Linked DNA regions of Drosophila melanogaster. Each later gene encodes a partner of the first gene's protein in a complex. Each region holds a gene or a part of one and is shown in the gene's direction. Other genes may lie near its edges.

The links.
Region 2: Clp (region 1) and Cpsf100 share a complex: the UniProt entries of both Drosophila melanogaster proteins name them as parts of the cleavage and polyadenylation specificity factor (CPSF) complex.
Region 3: Clp (region 1) and Cpsf160 share a complex: the UniProt entries of both Drosophila melanogaster proteins name them as parts of the cleavage and polyadenylation specificity factor (CPSF) complex.

Annotation. Positions count from the first base shown.
Region 1 is NT_033779.5:818,377-821,749, forward strand, and holds Clp (clipper), read left to right. Parts: upstream 1-1,587; 5' UTR 1,588-1,702; coding exon 1,703-2,593; 3' UTR 2,594-2,833; downstream 2,834-3,373. Other genes in the region: PGAP2 (Post-GPI attachment to proteins 2), read right to left, coding at 131-267, 328-958; CG3662 (uncharacterized protein), read left to right, coding at 3,176-3,283. UniProt on the Drosophila melanogaster protein: Component of the cleavage and polyadenylation specificity factor (CPSF) complex that plays a key role in pre-mRNA 3'-end formation, recognizing the AAUAAA signal sequence and interacting with poly(A) polymerase and other factors to bring about cleavage and poly(A) addition.
Region 2 is NT_033777.3:29,032,932-29,037,602, forward strand, and holds Cpsf100 (cleavage and polyadenylation specificity factor 100), read left to right. Parts: upstream 1-1,641; 5' UTR 1,642-1,731; coding exon 1,732-1,880; intron 1,881-1,939; coding exon 1,940-4,061; 3' UTR 4,062-4,131; downstream 4,132-4,671. Other genes in the region: beta4GalNAcTB (beta1,4-N-acetylgalactosaminyltransferase B), read right to left, coding at 17-988; Slu7, read right to left, coding at 4,152-4,671. UniProt on the Drosophila melanogaster protein: Component of the cleavage and polyadenylation specificity factor (CPSF) complex that plays a key role in pre-mRNA 3'-end formation, recognizing the AAUAAA signal sequence and interacting with poly(A) polymerase and other factors to bring about cleavage and poly(A) addition.
Region 3 is NT_033778.4:14,497,449-14,505,417, reverse strand, and holds the start of Cpsf160 (cleavage and polyadenylation specificity factor 160), read left to right. Parts: upstream 1-1,929; 5' UTR 1,930-2,053; coding exon 2,054-2,887; intron 2,888-2,956; coding exon 2,957-3,520; intron 3,521-3,578; coding exon 3,579-4,064; intron 4,065-4,121; coding exon 4,122-6,605; 3' UTR 6,606-6,860; intron 6,861-7,969. Other genes in the region: Asx (additional sex combs), read right to left, coding at 1-171. UniProt on the Drosophila melanogaster protein: Component of the cleavage and polyadenylation specificity factor (CPSF) complex that plays a key role in pre-mRNA 3'-end formation, recognizing the AAUAAA signal sequence and interacting with poly(A) polymerase and other factors to bring about cleavage and poly(A) addition.

The DNA of each region.
Region 1 (3,373 bases):
TAAGCAATTTCCTTTTGGTAAAATTAAGTAAACATTGAGCTTAAGCTAATACCGCGTATGTACACAATACTCGAGGACGACTGGCTGGCTGAAATGGCGGCGCAGGCTGGGTTTGATCTAGTTCATTGGTCTACGATTGTGATAGGTAGAGACCGTGCTTGGCATCACACACCACATTCAGGGCGTAGAAGTCCCAGTAGGAGGTCATGTGGAACCCCATGTTGGTCAGCACCACGATGTACTCGAACAACGCGAAGAAAGTATAGACTGTGGATAGAAAAGATTCATTATAAGACAATAGTGGACTCACAACCGATTCCCACTCACCTCCCGCCTCGCAATGCGAGTTGTGCCTCACGAAGCAGTATCCTGCCAAGCCAAAGGCGATCACATTCACCAAGAACAGATTTCTCTTGTACCTCAGCGACTTCTCCTCGTGCGGCAAGAGCACGGTCTTCTGTATATTCCTGTTCAGCAGGTAGGAAACCAGCATATAGCACTCGGAACACGCAATGAACACCACAAATGCGTTTCTGTGGGTCTCGTAATGATCCGCAGAGGTCCAAAACGACAAGCAGAAGAGGGCCAGATCCTCCACGACGTTCAAGAAGCAGGCCAGGATGCCCAGCAATCTTCTGCTCCGGCGGATGTGTTCCCGATAGTGCTCCAAGTAGATTTTGGCAACTGCCAAACGGAGTGGTAAATGCAGAAATATGGCCAGTCTCCAGACGGTTTTTTGGGGCTCATAGTTCCCAATGGCCGCCGAGACGGAGGGCAGATAGTTGGTCACATCGCAGTGGGTGTAGGTGCTCCTAACGAAGTCAAAGGTCAGAGACCAAATCACGCAGAAGAAGAAGCCTCCCAGGGGCAAACTAAGAGCCACCAGTGCCAGTCGCGCAAAGGGAAGCCGGAAGAGGACGCTTTTGGGATCACTGAAGCGCTCGTAAGTAGGCAGCATTTGACCTTTGGAGTGGGTGGACTACGTGGGGTGTTGGTCGGGTTGGGTTCTTCAGCGGCGCTCGCTCCTCATTTTTCAGTTCCTCGCTCCCAAATTAACTAATGGCTTTTCACGCAGATTGCTTACGTTATAAACATTGCGAAAAGTTGTAAACAAGTGATCGATACCAGCTGACTATCGGCCTCTGGCGGCGGGGGTGGTTCATTATCGAATTTACTCAGTGTTTAATGTTTAAATTTCGAAGCAATTCAAGTGTTGCTCTTGTGTAAGTGAAATTTTTGAAACTGGCTCGTTCATTGTAGATAAGCCCTTTTATCAGCAACACTAACGGGGCGGATACTTAATTTCTATGTAATACTTTAGTCGCCAACAGTGCTGACCAATATCAACTTACTTTTGTAGCTAAATAGCTAAAATGTTATTAATGGCGGTTTAGTTAAATAAGGTCATAAAAACAAGTATTTTCTTACTATGACTAATCTTATAAATTAAAAACATTTGGAGACTAAAAATATTTATATACAAATATCTATTCCCTGAAGTGGACAGATTTGGCTAATAAACAGCTAGACGGCCATGACTGTCTTGCCTTGCGAACTATCGATATCGATAACGCCGGTTGCGTGTCAGCACTATTCGCACTGAAACAACAAACACGCGCAAAAAAAGAAGAAGGAAACTGCATTGTTTACCAGATTTCGGAGTTTTTCCTCATCTATCCGAGCATCCGCGAATCCGTCAGAGATGGACATCCTTTTGGCCAACGTAAGTGGGCTGCAGTTCAAGGCGGAGCGGGACCTCATCGAGCAGGTGGGTGCCATCCCGCTGCCGTTCTACGGCATGGACAAGTCCATTGCGGCGGTCTGCAACTTCATCACCAGGAACGGACAGGAGTGCGACAAAGGGAGCGCCTGTCCCTTCCGACACATTCGCGGGGACCGGACGATCGTGTGCAAGCACTGGCTGAGAGGACTGTGCAAGAAGGGCGACCAGTGCGAGTTCCTGCACGAGTACGACATGACCAAGATGCCCGAGTGCTACTTCTACTCGAGGTTCAACGCCTGCCACAACAAAGAGTGTCCCTTTTTGCACATCGACCCGCAGAGCAAGGTGAAGGATTGTCCGTGGTACAAGAGAGGCTTCTGCCGCCACGGTCCCCACTGCCGGCACCAGCATCTGCGCCGTGTCCTGTGCATGGACTACCTAGCCGGCTTCTGCCCCGAGGGCCCGTCCTGCAAGCACATGCATCCGCACTTCGAGCTGCCCCCGCTGGCGGAACTGGGTAAGGATCAGCTGCACAAGAAACTGCCCACGTGCCACTATTGCGGCGAGCTGGGCCACAAGGCCAACTCGTGCAAGCAGTATGTGGGCAGCCTGGAGCATCGCAACAATATCAACGCAATGGATCACTCCGGCGGACACTCGGGCGGCTACTCTGGACACTCCGGCCACATCGAGGGTGCCGATGACATGCAATCCAATCACCACAGTCAGCCGCATGGTCCCGGCTTCGTCAAGGTGCCCACGCCCCTGGAGGAGATCACCTGCTACAAGTGCGGGAACAAGGGCCACTACGCGAACAAGTGTCCCAAGGGTCACCTCGCCTTCCTCTCTAACCAACATAGTCATAAGTAGGACGCTCTGCTCTGTATGATTAGACTGTAAGAGTGCAGAAATAAAGGTCGAAAGCGGTCTGCATAGTCCGCTGTGTAGTCCAGAGGTCGTAGGTTCCCAACTTCCGCAGGCGAACGTTTCAATCATTCTGTGTTTAAAGTGTATGTTAAGAAACTCATTTGCATTTTTGAAAAAAGTCCCTAGAACTGCCAGTAGAACGTATTGTGTTATCAGCGAAATAAACTTCCATAAGATACAAGTAAGCAATTCGTTTTGGAAGGGAGTTTAGTTGTATGTTTTGGGTTTTCTCCAAAAATATAAATGTATCATGTTTTTTCGTTTGTAAGATAACAATTTGTGCCTCACAATTTTTTTTCGGATTCAAGTTTCGAATTTTTGGGCGGCGAATCGTCTTTTCCAAGTTTGCAACCACTCTAGAGTTGCCTCACTTTTGTCCACATCTTTTGAAAGGCGAATTAGAACTGGTCACACTGGCTTGTCTGGATCGAGATTTCAGCTCGTCAACAATTGCGCACTAAATTTTCAGTAAAAACAAACAAGTTGGTCGTGCGGAGGCATCAAGAACACAGCATACGAGCAGCCATGACAATTCTGGGAAAACTGCGGGGACAGCCCACGGACCAGGAGAAGGTGCCCCTGCCCATGAACCTCAACGACGAGGCGCTCATGCACCATGGCTCCCTAATCGCAGTGAGTTTTGCTTGGCATCGCATCTGCGGGATGTGTCCTTATTTTTGCGCAATCGTGCTATGTCCTTGTCCATCCCTCGCGCCCTGCCCG
Region 2 (4,671 bases), on another chromosome or scaffold:
TAACAAATACTGGCACTCAGGTATCAACCAGGATGTGCGTGAACAAACTGTGCATTCGCCGCTCCATTTCCGTGTACACCAGTGAGTTGAGTCCATCCGCGTGCTGGCGCAGAGTCGCCGATCTCAGCAGTGCCACGCGATTGGCATTCGGCTGCTCCTGTTTGTGCTTCAGCATGGTGTACTTACTGAACTCCATTGCGAATCGGCAAATGTCGATATTCAGGGCCTGCAGGCGCTCGTAGAGGTCATCGTCCTCTCCGCCCCAGCCGTAATACAGATTGGACATGCCGTTGATCTGCTGGTACTGGGCGGTGTTGATGGCCACCACGCCGCCGAAAAGACCGCGGTAAGGCAGTCGGAATCGCCAGTGATCCAGGGCAGAGCTCATGTGCCGTGGACGTTCGGAGCAGGCATATATTTGACCCGAATTCAGTGGCAGGAGGTCCACGTCATGAAGGATGAGGCAGGGAAATCCATACTCCGCAGCCACCTGGGCGCCAATGTTGAAGAGCATCGCCCTGTTAAACGGCTTATGATCGAACTGTTCGACCAGGAAAATCCGATAGTGGATCAGCTGCTGCGGCAGGTAATTGTGCATGTACGTGAGGAAGGCGTGCAGCTGCTCCTCCCGCTGCCTGTACGGCACAATGATGGCGGTGCTGTAGCGAGCCTGACATCCTTCCGGACGGAACTCGCCGCCAGGACGGATCTCCGCGCCCCTCTGCACCGCGTCATGGTAATGGGCCAGGTGGTAGACGAACCGGTTTTCGGCAATGATCTCCGAGTAGGTGCATTCGAAAACTTCCTGCTGGGAGACATTTCTGGTCACCTGCGGCACCAGAGCCCCCTCGATCTTTGATTCCTCGATGTAGTCGTAGTGCGATGCGAACCGGAAGGGCAGACACAGGTACACGATGAGAGTGATCAGTCCGATGGCGATGAGAAGATCATATTTATGGAAGCTGCGGACCCAGAGCCGCACGAACATTGTTGGCAGGAAAAGTTGACTCAGTGCGATCTTTGGAAACTCCGCATCCTAATTTCGGACGCAATCTTCGCGGCCGGTTGGCGAATAACAGCTGACGACCAGGGACGCAACGCATAAACCAACAGACAGTGAAACTTCACCAGCTCGAATTGTTTTTTTTTTGGTTTATTTTCTCACATAATATTCATTAATTTTTTAAATGGTTTTTACGAACAACTAAAGTCTACTAACCAAAAAGAAAATGTTTATGAAATCAATTTTTAGGATGCCTTTAATACAAAATAGCATAAGAAGTTGTTTTTATAAAAAGTATGCAACCGATTGGGCATCCATGGTTCTTTAAAACGGCATGACTCTACCCCACCCTTATTAATTAAACAATAATTTGATAAAAAGTTGTGTTTACTTATACTAGATTGTTGAGACTTCTATTGATAAGGATGCATAGTTATAAATGTTGACTCATTAAAGAGAAGGTAATTGAACTGAAGAAGGTTGTAGCCATATGTATGTATGGTTAATACATGAGAGACATAATCAAAGTTTTTAATTTATAACATTTAAAATGTCAATCTTTGTTTATTATCGGGTTGTACTGTTCGCTCAACAAGTACGTACTGTATAAACAAAGCAACAGCACTCTGGCAACGCCGTGACAGTTTCCCATCCCTGAACCGGCGAAGAACTCTTGGTTTCCTTTTACAATTTCTTAAACAAATGCACCGGTGGTTTAATTGGCAAAAATGACCTCCATTATCAAGCTGCACACTATATCTGGGGCGATGGACGAGTCCCCGCCATGCTATATCCTACAGATAGACGATGTGCGGATATTACTTGACTGCGGATGGGACGAAAAGTTCGATGCCAACTTTATCAAGGAACTGAAGAGGTGACAATTGTATACATATTTCAGGAAAACAATAACCTAAATATTTTGTGTATTCCCAGGCAGGTGCACACCCTGGACGCCGTGCTGCTATCCCATCCGGATGCATATCATCTTGGAGCCCTGCCATACTTGGTGGGCAAGCTGGGGCTCAATTGCCCCATCTACGCCACCATTCCCGTGTTCAAAATGGGTCAAATGTTTATGTATGACCTTTACATGTCGCACTTCAATATGGGAGACTTCGATCTATTTTCGCTGGACGACGTGGACACGGCTTTCGAAAAGATAACCCAGTTGAAATACAACCAAACAGTTTCACTGAAGGACAAAGGATATGGAATATCCATTACGCCTTTGAACGCTGGACACATGATCGGCGGCACCATCTGGAAGATCGTCAAGGTGGGCGAGGAGGATATTGTGTACGCCACCGACTTCAACCATAAGAAGGAGCGCCACTTAAGTGGCTGCGAGCTGGACAGGCTGCAAAGACCTTCGCTGCTCATTACCGACGCCTACAACGCACAGTACCAGCAGGCCAGAAGGAGGGCCCGCGATGAAAAGCTAATGACCAACATCCTGCAAACGGTGCGTAACAACGGCAATGTCCTGATAGCCGTGGATACGGCAGGACGAGTCCTGGAGTTGGCCCACATGCTGGACCAGCTGTGGAAGAACAAGGAATCTGGGCTAATGGCCTACTCCCTGGCCCTTCTTAACAATGTGAGCTACAACGTGATTGAGTTCGCCAAGTCGCAGATAGAATGGATGAGTGACAAGCTCACGAAGGCTTTCGAAGGTGCCCGCAACAATCCCTTTCAGTTCAAGCACATCCAGCTGTGCCATTCACTGGCGGACGTCTATAAATTGCCCGCTGGTCCAAAAGTGGTGTTGGCCAGTACCCCAGATCTGGAGAGCGGATTCACGAGGGATCTCTTCGTGCAATGGGCCAGCAATGCCAACAATAGCATAATCCTTACTACTCGTACGTCTCCCGGCACTTTAGCCATGGAACTGGTGGAGAACTGCGCACCGGGCAAGCAAATCGAATTGGACGTCAGGCGAAGAGTTGACTTAGAAGGAGCTGAGTTGGAGGAGTACCTACGCACACAGGGCGAGAAACTTAATCCCCTTATCGTAAAGCCCGATGTGGAGGAAGAGAGCAGTTCCGAGTCCGAGGACGACATCGAGATGAGCGTCATCACGGGCAAGCATGATATTGTGGTCAGACCGGAGGGTCGCCATCACTCCGGTTTTTTCAAGTCCAACAAACGACACCACGTGATGTTCCCCTATCACGAGGAAAAGGTGAAGTGCGATGAGTATGGGGAGATCATCAATCTAGACGACTACCGGATTGCGGATGCGACAGGCTATGAGTTTGTACCTATGGAGGAGCAAAACAAGGAGAATGTTAAAAAGGAAGAACCGGGCATAGGAGCAGAACAACAGGCTAACGGAGGAATCGTCGACAATGATGTTCAGTTGCTGGAGAAGCCCACCAAGCTGATAAGCCAACGCAAAACAATCGAGGTGAATGCCCAAGTCCAGAGGATCGATTTCGAAGGTCGCTCTGATGGCGAGTCCATGCTAAAGATCCTCTCCCAGTTGAGGCCACGAAGGGTTATCGTCATACACGGCACTGCCGAAGGCACACAAGTGGTGGCCAGGCACTGCGAACAGAATGTCGGTGCGCGCGTTTTTACTCCGCAGAAGGGGGAAATCATTGATGTCACCAGTGAGATTCACATCTATCAGGTACGCCTGACGGAAGGACTTGTCTCCCAGCTGCAGTTCCAAAAGGGCAAGGACGCGGAGGTGGCGTGGGTGGATGGTCGCCTGGGCATGCGGGTGAAGGCCATCGAAGCACCCATGGACGTAACTGTGGAGCAGGACGCTTCCGTGCAAGAAGGCAAGACATTGACTCTTGAAACACTGGCGGACGATGAGATTCCTATCCACAACTCAGTGCTCATTAACGAGCTGAAACTGTCCGACTTTAAGCAGACTCTCATGCGTAATAACATCAACTCGGAGTTCTCCGGCGGCGTGCTCTGGTGCAGCAACGGAACTCTGGCCTTGAGGCGAGTGGATGCCGGCAAGGTAGCCATGGAGGGATGCTTATCCGAGGAGTACTACAAGATCAGGGAGTTGCTGTACGAGCAGTATGCGATCGTTTAATATTCAAAATGACGTTTGTGTAAGCCCCTAATGTTTTACTTGTTAAGATTAGAAAGTTTTTATATAAGAGAATCAGTTGTACTTTATTGCCTACATAAATTGCAGCATGGGATCTTCTGCCCTTGGCCGCTTCTTCTTCCACTCCTCGATCTCGTCCTCTGTGGGCGCCTTCACATCATACATGCTGTTATAGGCTCGTTTGCGATCGTCCAGTTCCTCGGGAATATCTTTTTCCTTTGTCTTATCTTTGTCCTTGGTCTCCTTGTTCTTGCCTTTTTGTTTTCGCTGCTCCTTAGCCTTCTTTTTCTTCTCGCGCTTCTTCGACTTCTTCTTGGTCTTCTTCTTCTCAGGTTTTACCTCCTCCTCTTCGGATGAGGAGGGTTCCGAACTCGATGCTGAGTCCACTTCGGAAGTGGGCCTTTCAGGTGGCACTTCTGGTACCTTGAATTGGCTTTGAGCTGCAGGTTCTGTAGTAGCCGCTGCAGTGGAGCTCGTAGAATGATGTTCCGAGTAGCCCTCTGGCTCCTGCATGCCCACGCAGTAGGAGTTCTTGATGAAGGACTTGCAGCACTTGTAACCCCAGCGTCCGGCGTTCCAGAAACTGCCCCAA
Region 3 (7,969 bases), on another chromosome or scaffold:
CTCGTCGTCGTCCACCAGATTCACATGCTCCATTATCATCGTAGGCGGTGGAGCGGCCAACAGGGATTGCTGCTGCAGCATCGGCTGGTGATGCTGATCCGCTTGTGGAATGAGAAGTTGTTGGTGCTGCGACGACGTCGTCGTCGTCGTATCCGGCGTAATGGTTTTCATTGTTAATCGCTCTGCCTAATCTATTTACAGCGAACTTTTGATCCATGCACCCATGTCAAGCAAGTTTCTTCCGCACACACTGGAAATGTTGAGAAATAGATAATTTAATATTATTTTTTTGTTAACAATGAAATAGTTTTGTTATGTGATGGTTTATTTGGATATAAATTAAAAACAGAGCATTAATTCTTTACTTTAAATTGCTTGGCAACTTGACAATGATCATATACAAATGCAAAATGATGTGTAACAAAAATGAATGTAACTTCTTATAGTTTTCAAATTTAAATTTGTTTATTTGATTTATCCGTGTTGGGGTTCAGCCAATATTGCTTGTTTTTAACATTTTCAAGCTTCCCAGTCGATTTTAGATGCCATATTAGATGGCAAAACTAGTTTTTGGTTAATACTATAGTGCACGAAATTAATCCTGATCGGCTGCACTAACGAATTGTCCATTTTAAGGCAAAAAGTGTCTGTATAATTTTAACGTTGCGCCCTTTGTATATGTATGTACGTCATCTGTGTGCATGTATGTGCGCATATATTTCGTTAGAAGTGTGTGCGTGTGTTTTATTTTTTTATATGTAATGAAATTGCGGCTATACGGAGATTTTTCCGTTTGTTATGCCTTAGTTTTAATTATTGTTTTTGTTTTCCTCACGACTTTTCTCACTTGCCAGCAGTAATTTTAAACAAATCAACAATGTAACAGCAGTAACAACAACAAATACGAACGACCTGCAAAGTTGGTTATATTTTTTTCTCACGCACGCATACACATACACACAAACACACACAAATGCACACTAGCACATCGGAGAAGTAGAAAAATGACTTTTGTTCCTATTTAAGTAACTAATTGCGGGTATTTTACCTATTTATGGTACGGATTTAGATCTGTACTAGAGCACTATCTTTTGCATAATGCCGATTTCCGCCTCGTTAATGGCTCACTAAATTAAATATTGAATGGGGGAAATGTGAATGCCAAACACACAAACAAAGCAGCTACAAAATGATTCTTTTCTAGCCAACTATGCCGGTCCCTTTCTGGCGCACGCGTTTTCCCGTATCGGGCGCAGCGCCCGTTTCTCTCTCACACTCACTATGCAGAAAAGCTGCGTTTAATTGAATGAAATTGTTTAAGTTACTACAACGCAAACACTAGTCACTAATCACACCAACTAGTTAATGTTTTTTCGTGGCCAGTTTTAAACGCAAAACGCTCGAATTTCTGGCTGCCCTGCCAAGTCCGATGGGGTTGTTGATGTCGCATCCGATACATCGGATAGGAGCGGATGTATTTGCGCAGTCACTGCTCCCGCACCAGGGCTGCCAACTATCGATTGAACGATCAGGTCAAGAAGTAGCTAGAAATAAGCTGGCAAATATGAAGCGTTACGTACGTAGCGGTTATTTGATTTTAAGTTATGTTACATTTACGTACATATATAATATAATTGTATAACGTGTGCATACAAAATAATTGTTATAAAAATATACAAGCTCTAAGACCAAAATGCACTATAAATAATTTCTAAATGTTTAGACTCGTAACTTATGCAAATACGTAACATACGTATCATTTTACATGTTCAGATAAAAAAATATAGCTTTTATTTGGTCAAATACATTTTGCAAGATATTAACTAACGAAATACTTAAAAACCGCTAAAACAAAAAGCAAGACAAAAATCAAGCCAATATGGTATTCCACCCACTAAAACGGCGAACAAGTTTTCACATCCAATGAGCGATAACTTTGCACCCACAATCGATAGTTCCGCAGCTGCTGTGTGTGTTGGGCCGGCAAATTGTTAAACTGGCTGAAATTGTTAATAATGTTTTAAGAAATTGCGACACCAATTAAACCACCGCAATGTTTTCGATGTGCAAGCAGACGCACTCCGCCACGGCGGTGGAGTTTTCGATAGCATGCCGCTTCTTTAACAATCTGGATGAGAACCTGGTGGTGGCGGGCGCCAATGTACTAAAGGTGTACCGGATAGCGCCCAACGTGGAGGCGAGCCAGCGTCAAAAGCTGAATCCCAGCGAGATGCGTCTGGCGCCCAAAATGCGACTGGAATGCCTAGCCACATATACGCTCTACGGCAATGTGATGTCGCTGCAGTGCGTCTCATTGGCGGGTGCCATGCGGGATGCGCTGTTGATTAGTTTCAAGGACGCGAAATTGTCCGTACTGCAGCACGATCCCGATACGTTTGCGCTGAAAACTCTCTCACTTCACTATTTCGAGGAAGATGACATACGTGGTGGTTGGACGGGTCGCTATTTTGTGCCCACAGTTCGCGTAGATCCCGATTCCAGGTGTGCCGTCATGTTGGTCTACGGCAAACGGCTGGTGGTACTGCCCTTTCGCAAGGACAACAGCCTGGACGAGATCGAGCTAGCGGATGTGAAGCCAATTAAAAAGGCTCCGACGGCAATGGTCAGCAGGACGCCTATTATGGCATCGTACCTGATAGCACTGCGAGATCTTGATGAGAAGATCGACAATGTTCTGGACATACAATTCCTGCACGGCTACTACGAACCAACGCTGCTTATACTCTACGAACCGGTGCGAACCTGTCCGGGAAGAATAAAGGTGCGCTCCGATACTTGCGTTTTGGTGGCCATTTCGTTGAACATTCAACAGCGAGTGCATCCGATTATTTGGACCGTGAACAGTCTACCTTTTGACTGCCTACAAGTGGGTGTTTGAAAATGCCACTTACCTTTTAGGAGTCACAACGTTTAATGTGTCATTTTTCCCTTGCAGGTTTACCCGATTCAGAAGCCAATTGGGGGTTGTCTGGTAATGACAGTCAATGCTGTAATCTATCTCAATCAGAGTGTCCCTCCATATGGCGTCAGTTTAAACAGTTCAGCGGATAACAGCACCGCATTTCCACTGAAGCCACAGGATGGCGTTCGTATTAGTTTGGATTGTGCTAACTTTGCATTTATTGATGTCGACAAGCTGGTAATCTCGCTTCGCACTGGAGATCTATACGTGCTTACGCTTTGCGTTGACTCAATGAGAACGGTTAGGAACTTCCATTTCCACAAAGCAGCCGCCAGTGTGCTAACTAGTTGTATCTGCGTTCTGCACTCCGAATACATATTTTTGGGATCACGTCTCGGAAATTCCTTATTGCTGCACTTTACAGAGGAGGACCAGAGCACGGTCATTACGTTAGATGAGGTGGAACAGCAATCGGAGCAGCAGCAAAGGAATCTGCAGGACGAGGATCAGAATTTGGAGGAAATTTTTGATGTAGATCAATTGGAAATGGCACCGACCCAAGCAAAATCGCGTCGTATTGAGGATGAGGAACTAGAGGTTTGTAAACAATATACTTAAAGTTTTGAATTGTTTTTAAATTTGATCGTTTTTACAGGTGTATGGTTCTGGAGCTAAGGCATCGGTTCTTCAGCTGCGAAAATTCATATTTGAGGTGTGCGACAGTCTAATGAATGTAGCACCAATCAACTACATGTGCGCCGGAGAAAGAGTGGAATTCGAAGAGGATGGCGTTACGTTGCGACCACATGCGGAATCTCTGCAAGATCTAAAGATAGAACTAGTCGCTGCCACGGGTCACAGCAAAAACGGAGCTCTGTCCGTATTTGTAAACTGCATTAATCCTCAAATCATAACAAGCTTTGAGTTAGATGGGTGCCTCGATGTGTGGACTGTGTTTGATGATGCCACTAAGAAGTCTTCGCGAAATGATCAGCATGATTTCATGTTGCTTTCACAAAGGAATTCTACATTGGTTTTACAAACAGGACAGGAAATTAATGAAATCGAGAATACGGGCTTTACGGTTAACCAGCCGACCATATTTGTCGGTAATCTCGGACAGCAGCGGTTCATTGTTCAGGTTAGTTTGAGGTCGTATTAATGGTATTTTGTATATAATTATTTCTTTATTCATTAGGTCACCACCCGTCATGTCAGATTATTGCAAGGAACTCGATTAATTCAAAATGTCCCCATTGATGTGGGCTCGCCAGTGGTACAGGTGTCCATAGCAGATCCCTACGTTTGCCTGCGAGTGCTCAACGGTCAGGTTATCACATTAGCGCTGCGAGAAACCCGTGGAACTCCTCGTTTGGCTATCAACAAGCATACCATTAGCAGCTCACCCGCAGTGGTTGCCATTTCGGCATATAAAGATTTATCAGGACTATTCACAGTGAAAGGTGATGATATAAACCTGACCGGCAGCTCAAACAGTGCATTTGGACATAGTTTTGGCGGCTACATGAAGGCCGAGCCCAACATGAAGGTGGAGGACGAAGAAGATCTGCTCTACGGCGATGCCGGAAGTGCCTTCAAGATGAACAGCATGGCGGATTTGGCGAAACAATCAAAACAAAAGAACTCGGACTGGTGGCGACGCCTTCTTGTGCAAGCAAAGCCCAGCTATTGGTTAGTGGTTGCCCGTCAGAGTGGCACCTTGGAGATCTACTCAATGCCGGACATGAAGCTTGTGTATCTCGTAAACGATGTGGGCAATGGTTCAATGGTTCTTACGGATGCAATGGAATTCGTGCCGATTTCACTGACCACGCAGGAGAACTCGAAGGCGGGCATTGTACAGGCTTGTATGCCGCAGCATGCTAACTCTCCACTGCCATTGGAATTGAGTGTAATAGGCTTGGGTCTAAATGGAGAAAGACCTTTACTTTTGGTCAGGACTCGAGTAGAGCTGCTAATATACCAGGTGTTCCGATATCCCAAGGGTCACCTGAAGATACGTTTCCGAAAGATGGATCAACTGAATTTGCTGGACCAACAGCCGACGCATATTGACTTGGATGAGAACGATGAGCAGGAGGAGATAGAATCTTATCAAATGCAACCAAAGTATGTCCAAAAACTACGACCATTCGCCAACGTTGGAGGACTCTCCGGCGTTATGGTATGCGGCGTCAATCCTTGCTTTGTTTTCCTAACATTCCGAGGAGAACTTCGCATACATCGGCTGCTTGGTAACGGAGATGTGCGTAGCTTTGCTGCCTTCAACAATGTTAATATTCCCAATGGATTCCTTTACTTTGACACAACCTATGAGCTTAAGATCTCTGTGTTGCCCAGCTACTTGAGTTATGACTCCGTTTGGCCGGTGAGAAAGGTTCCTCTCAGATGTACACCAAGACAACTTGTTTACCATCGCGAGAATCGGGTTTATTGCCTAATCACTCAAACGGAGGAACCGATGACCAAGTACTATCGGTTTAACGGCGAGGATAAGGAGCTGTCCGAGGAAAGCCGTGGCGAGAGATTCATCTACCCCATTGGCTCGCAATTCGAAATGGTTTTAATATCACCAGAAACCTGGGAAATTGTGCCAGATGCATCAATTACCTTTGAGCCCTGGGAACACGTCACCGCCTTTAAGATCGTTAAGTTGTCTTACGAAGGTACAAGATCAGGACTCAAGGAATACCTTTGCATTGGAACTAACTTTAATTACAGTGAGGATATTACCAGCAGAGGAAATATTCATATATATGATATTATAGAAGTGGTTCCCGAACCCGGAAAACCGATGACCAAATTCAAGATAAAGGAAATATTTAAGAAGGAGCAGAAGGGACCAGTTTCTGCCATTTCAGATGTTTTGGGTTTTCTGGTGACGGGACTTGGCCAGAAGATCTACATTTGGCAACTTCGTGATGGAGACCTTATTGGAGTGGCTTTTATAGATACAAATATCTATGTCCATCAGATTATCACCGTGAAATCCCTGATTTTTATTGCAGATGTTTACAAATCCATAAGTTTGCTGCGCTTCCAGGAGGAGTATCGCACATTGTCGCTGGCCTCGCGAGATTTTAATCCTCTGGAGGTTTATGGAATTGAATTCATGGTGGATAACTCAAATCTGGGTTTCCTGGTGACCGATGCCGAGCGCAATATAATTGTCTACATGTATCAGCCGGAGGCCAGGGAATCACTGGGTGGCCAAAAACTTCTCCGCAAGGCGGATTATCACCTGGGTCAGGTGGTAAACACCATGTTTCGGGTGCAGTGCCATCAAAAGGGATTGCATCAGCGACAACCCTTCCTCTACGAAAACAAGCATTTCGTAGTTTATGGCACGCTGGATGGAGCTTTGGGATATTGCTTGCCCCTTCCCGAGAAAGTCTACAGGAGATTCCTTATGTTGCAGAATGTGCTCCTTTCCTATCAGGAACACCTTTGCGGCCTCAATCCCAAGGAATACCGCACTCTCAAGTCATCCAAGAAACAAGGCATCAACCCGTCTCGCTGCATCATTGACGGAGATTTAATTTGGTCATATCGACTAATGGCCAATTCGGAACGCAATGAAGTGGCGAAAAAGATTGGCACGCGCACTGAAGAAATCTTGGGGGATTTGCTGGAAATCGAACGACTAGCCAGCGTTTTTTAGACATCCTATAGTGTGAAAGATGTAAAGTTTTAGTTGATAGTTGTATTTGTAATTTATGTTACGAGTTTCCCAATTGTAAATCTAGTTTTATAGGCACAACAAAGTATTTTGTTAAGTAAACTTGGAGTTTCTTATGGTTTTGGTGGTCTGGAACACAATTCTGAGCGCTATGGCAGCTCGTTGGACTGTATATCAATAATACAATTAAAAATGTATGCTATCTTAAAGACAAAAACATGGATGGCCGAAGTATTGGGTCTAATCAAAGACACTAGAATAACAAGATGCGTAACGCCATACGATTTTTTGGCACACAATTTTTTGGCCGTGGCTCTAGAGGTGGCTCCAGGCTCTCTCGAATTTTTGTTAGAGAGCGAGAGAGCGAAGAGCGCTACAGCGAACCGCTCTTTTCTACGCATACAGTGATAGCAGACAACTTTATGTGTGCACACGTATGCTCATGCATTGTAAATTTGACAAAATATGCCCTTCACCTTAGAAGTTCTTTGACTTTAAATCTATATTATTTTTGATCAATTGGCACCATGCGAAAAATTCTTGTTTTGCATTGCCTTAACGTTATTATTATTTGAAAATAGATTAGAAATAGTCAAATCTATGTACATATTATCACAAAAATAAATTTCAAAAATGACTTTATATAAGAATATTTGTCATTAGAGTATTCATCTTGCGGCGTGTGAAAAATTAATAAGGCAATGATTGTTGAGTGCTTGGTGTCCGCACTTCGTGCCTCAAGATATGAACAAAGCAAAGACACTGGAATAATTCTAGTGTCTTTGATATTACTTTTGCAATAAACAGTTATCATATTTAATTATTTAGTATATTTATTAAGTCATTTGACTTAATATGATGTAACATTAACATTAAAAGTGTTTCAAAAAAAATATTTCGCTTTTAAAAAATTGTCAGATGAGAGACAAATTAGAATTAAACATAAATATAAATGTGTAAACGATAGCTAATTCGAGCGGCGATTTATACAAACGAATTTAAAAAGCTTTAAAATTATAATAATCAGGGCGCGAATTTTTAAAAATTATTTTATTTTATCATATTGCTACGAAATTGGCAAAAACTACCCTAATATGTACTATGTAAATTCATTTCTTCGATCAGAATTGATTTCGGCCCGAAAATCGTCTTCTAGCACAACACGCACACATATACGAGTTCTCGACTCTTGTTTTTACTCACACAAGCAAGCAAATTAAATTTTTAGATTTCTTACGCTCTCAGCGGGAGTGAGCGGAAAGAGAGCAATTTTGGCCGTCGCTAAAAAATTGGCTGCATAGTGCCAAACCAATGTATGGCCGTTACGCATCTTGTTATTCTAGTGT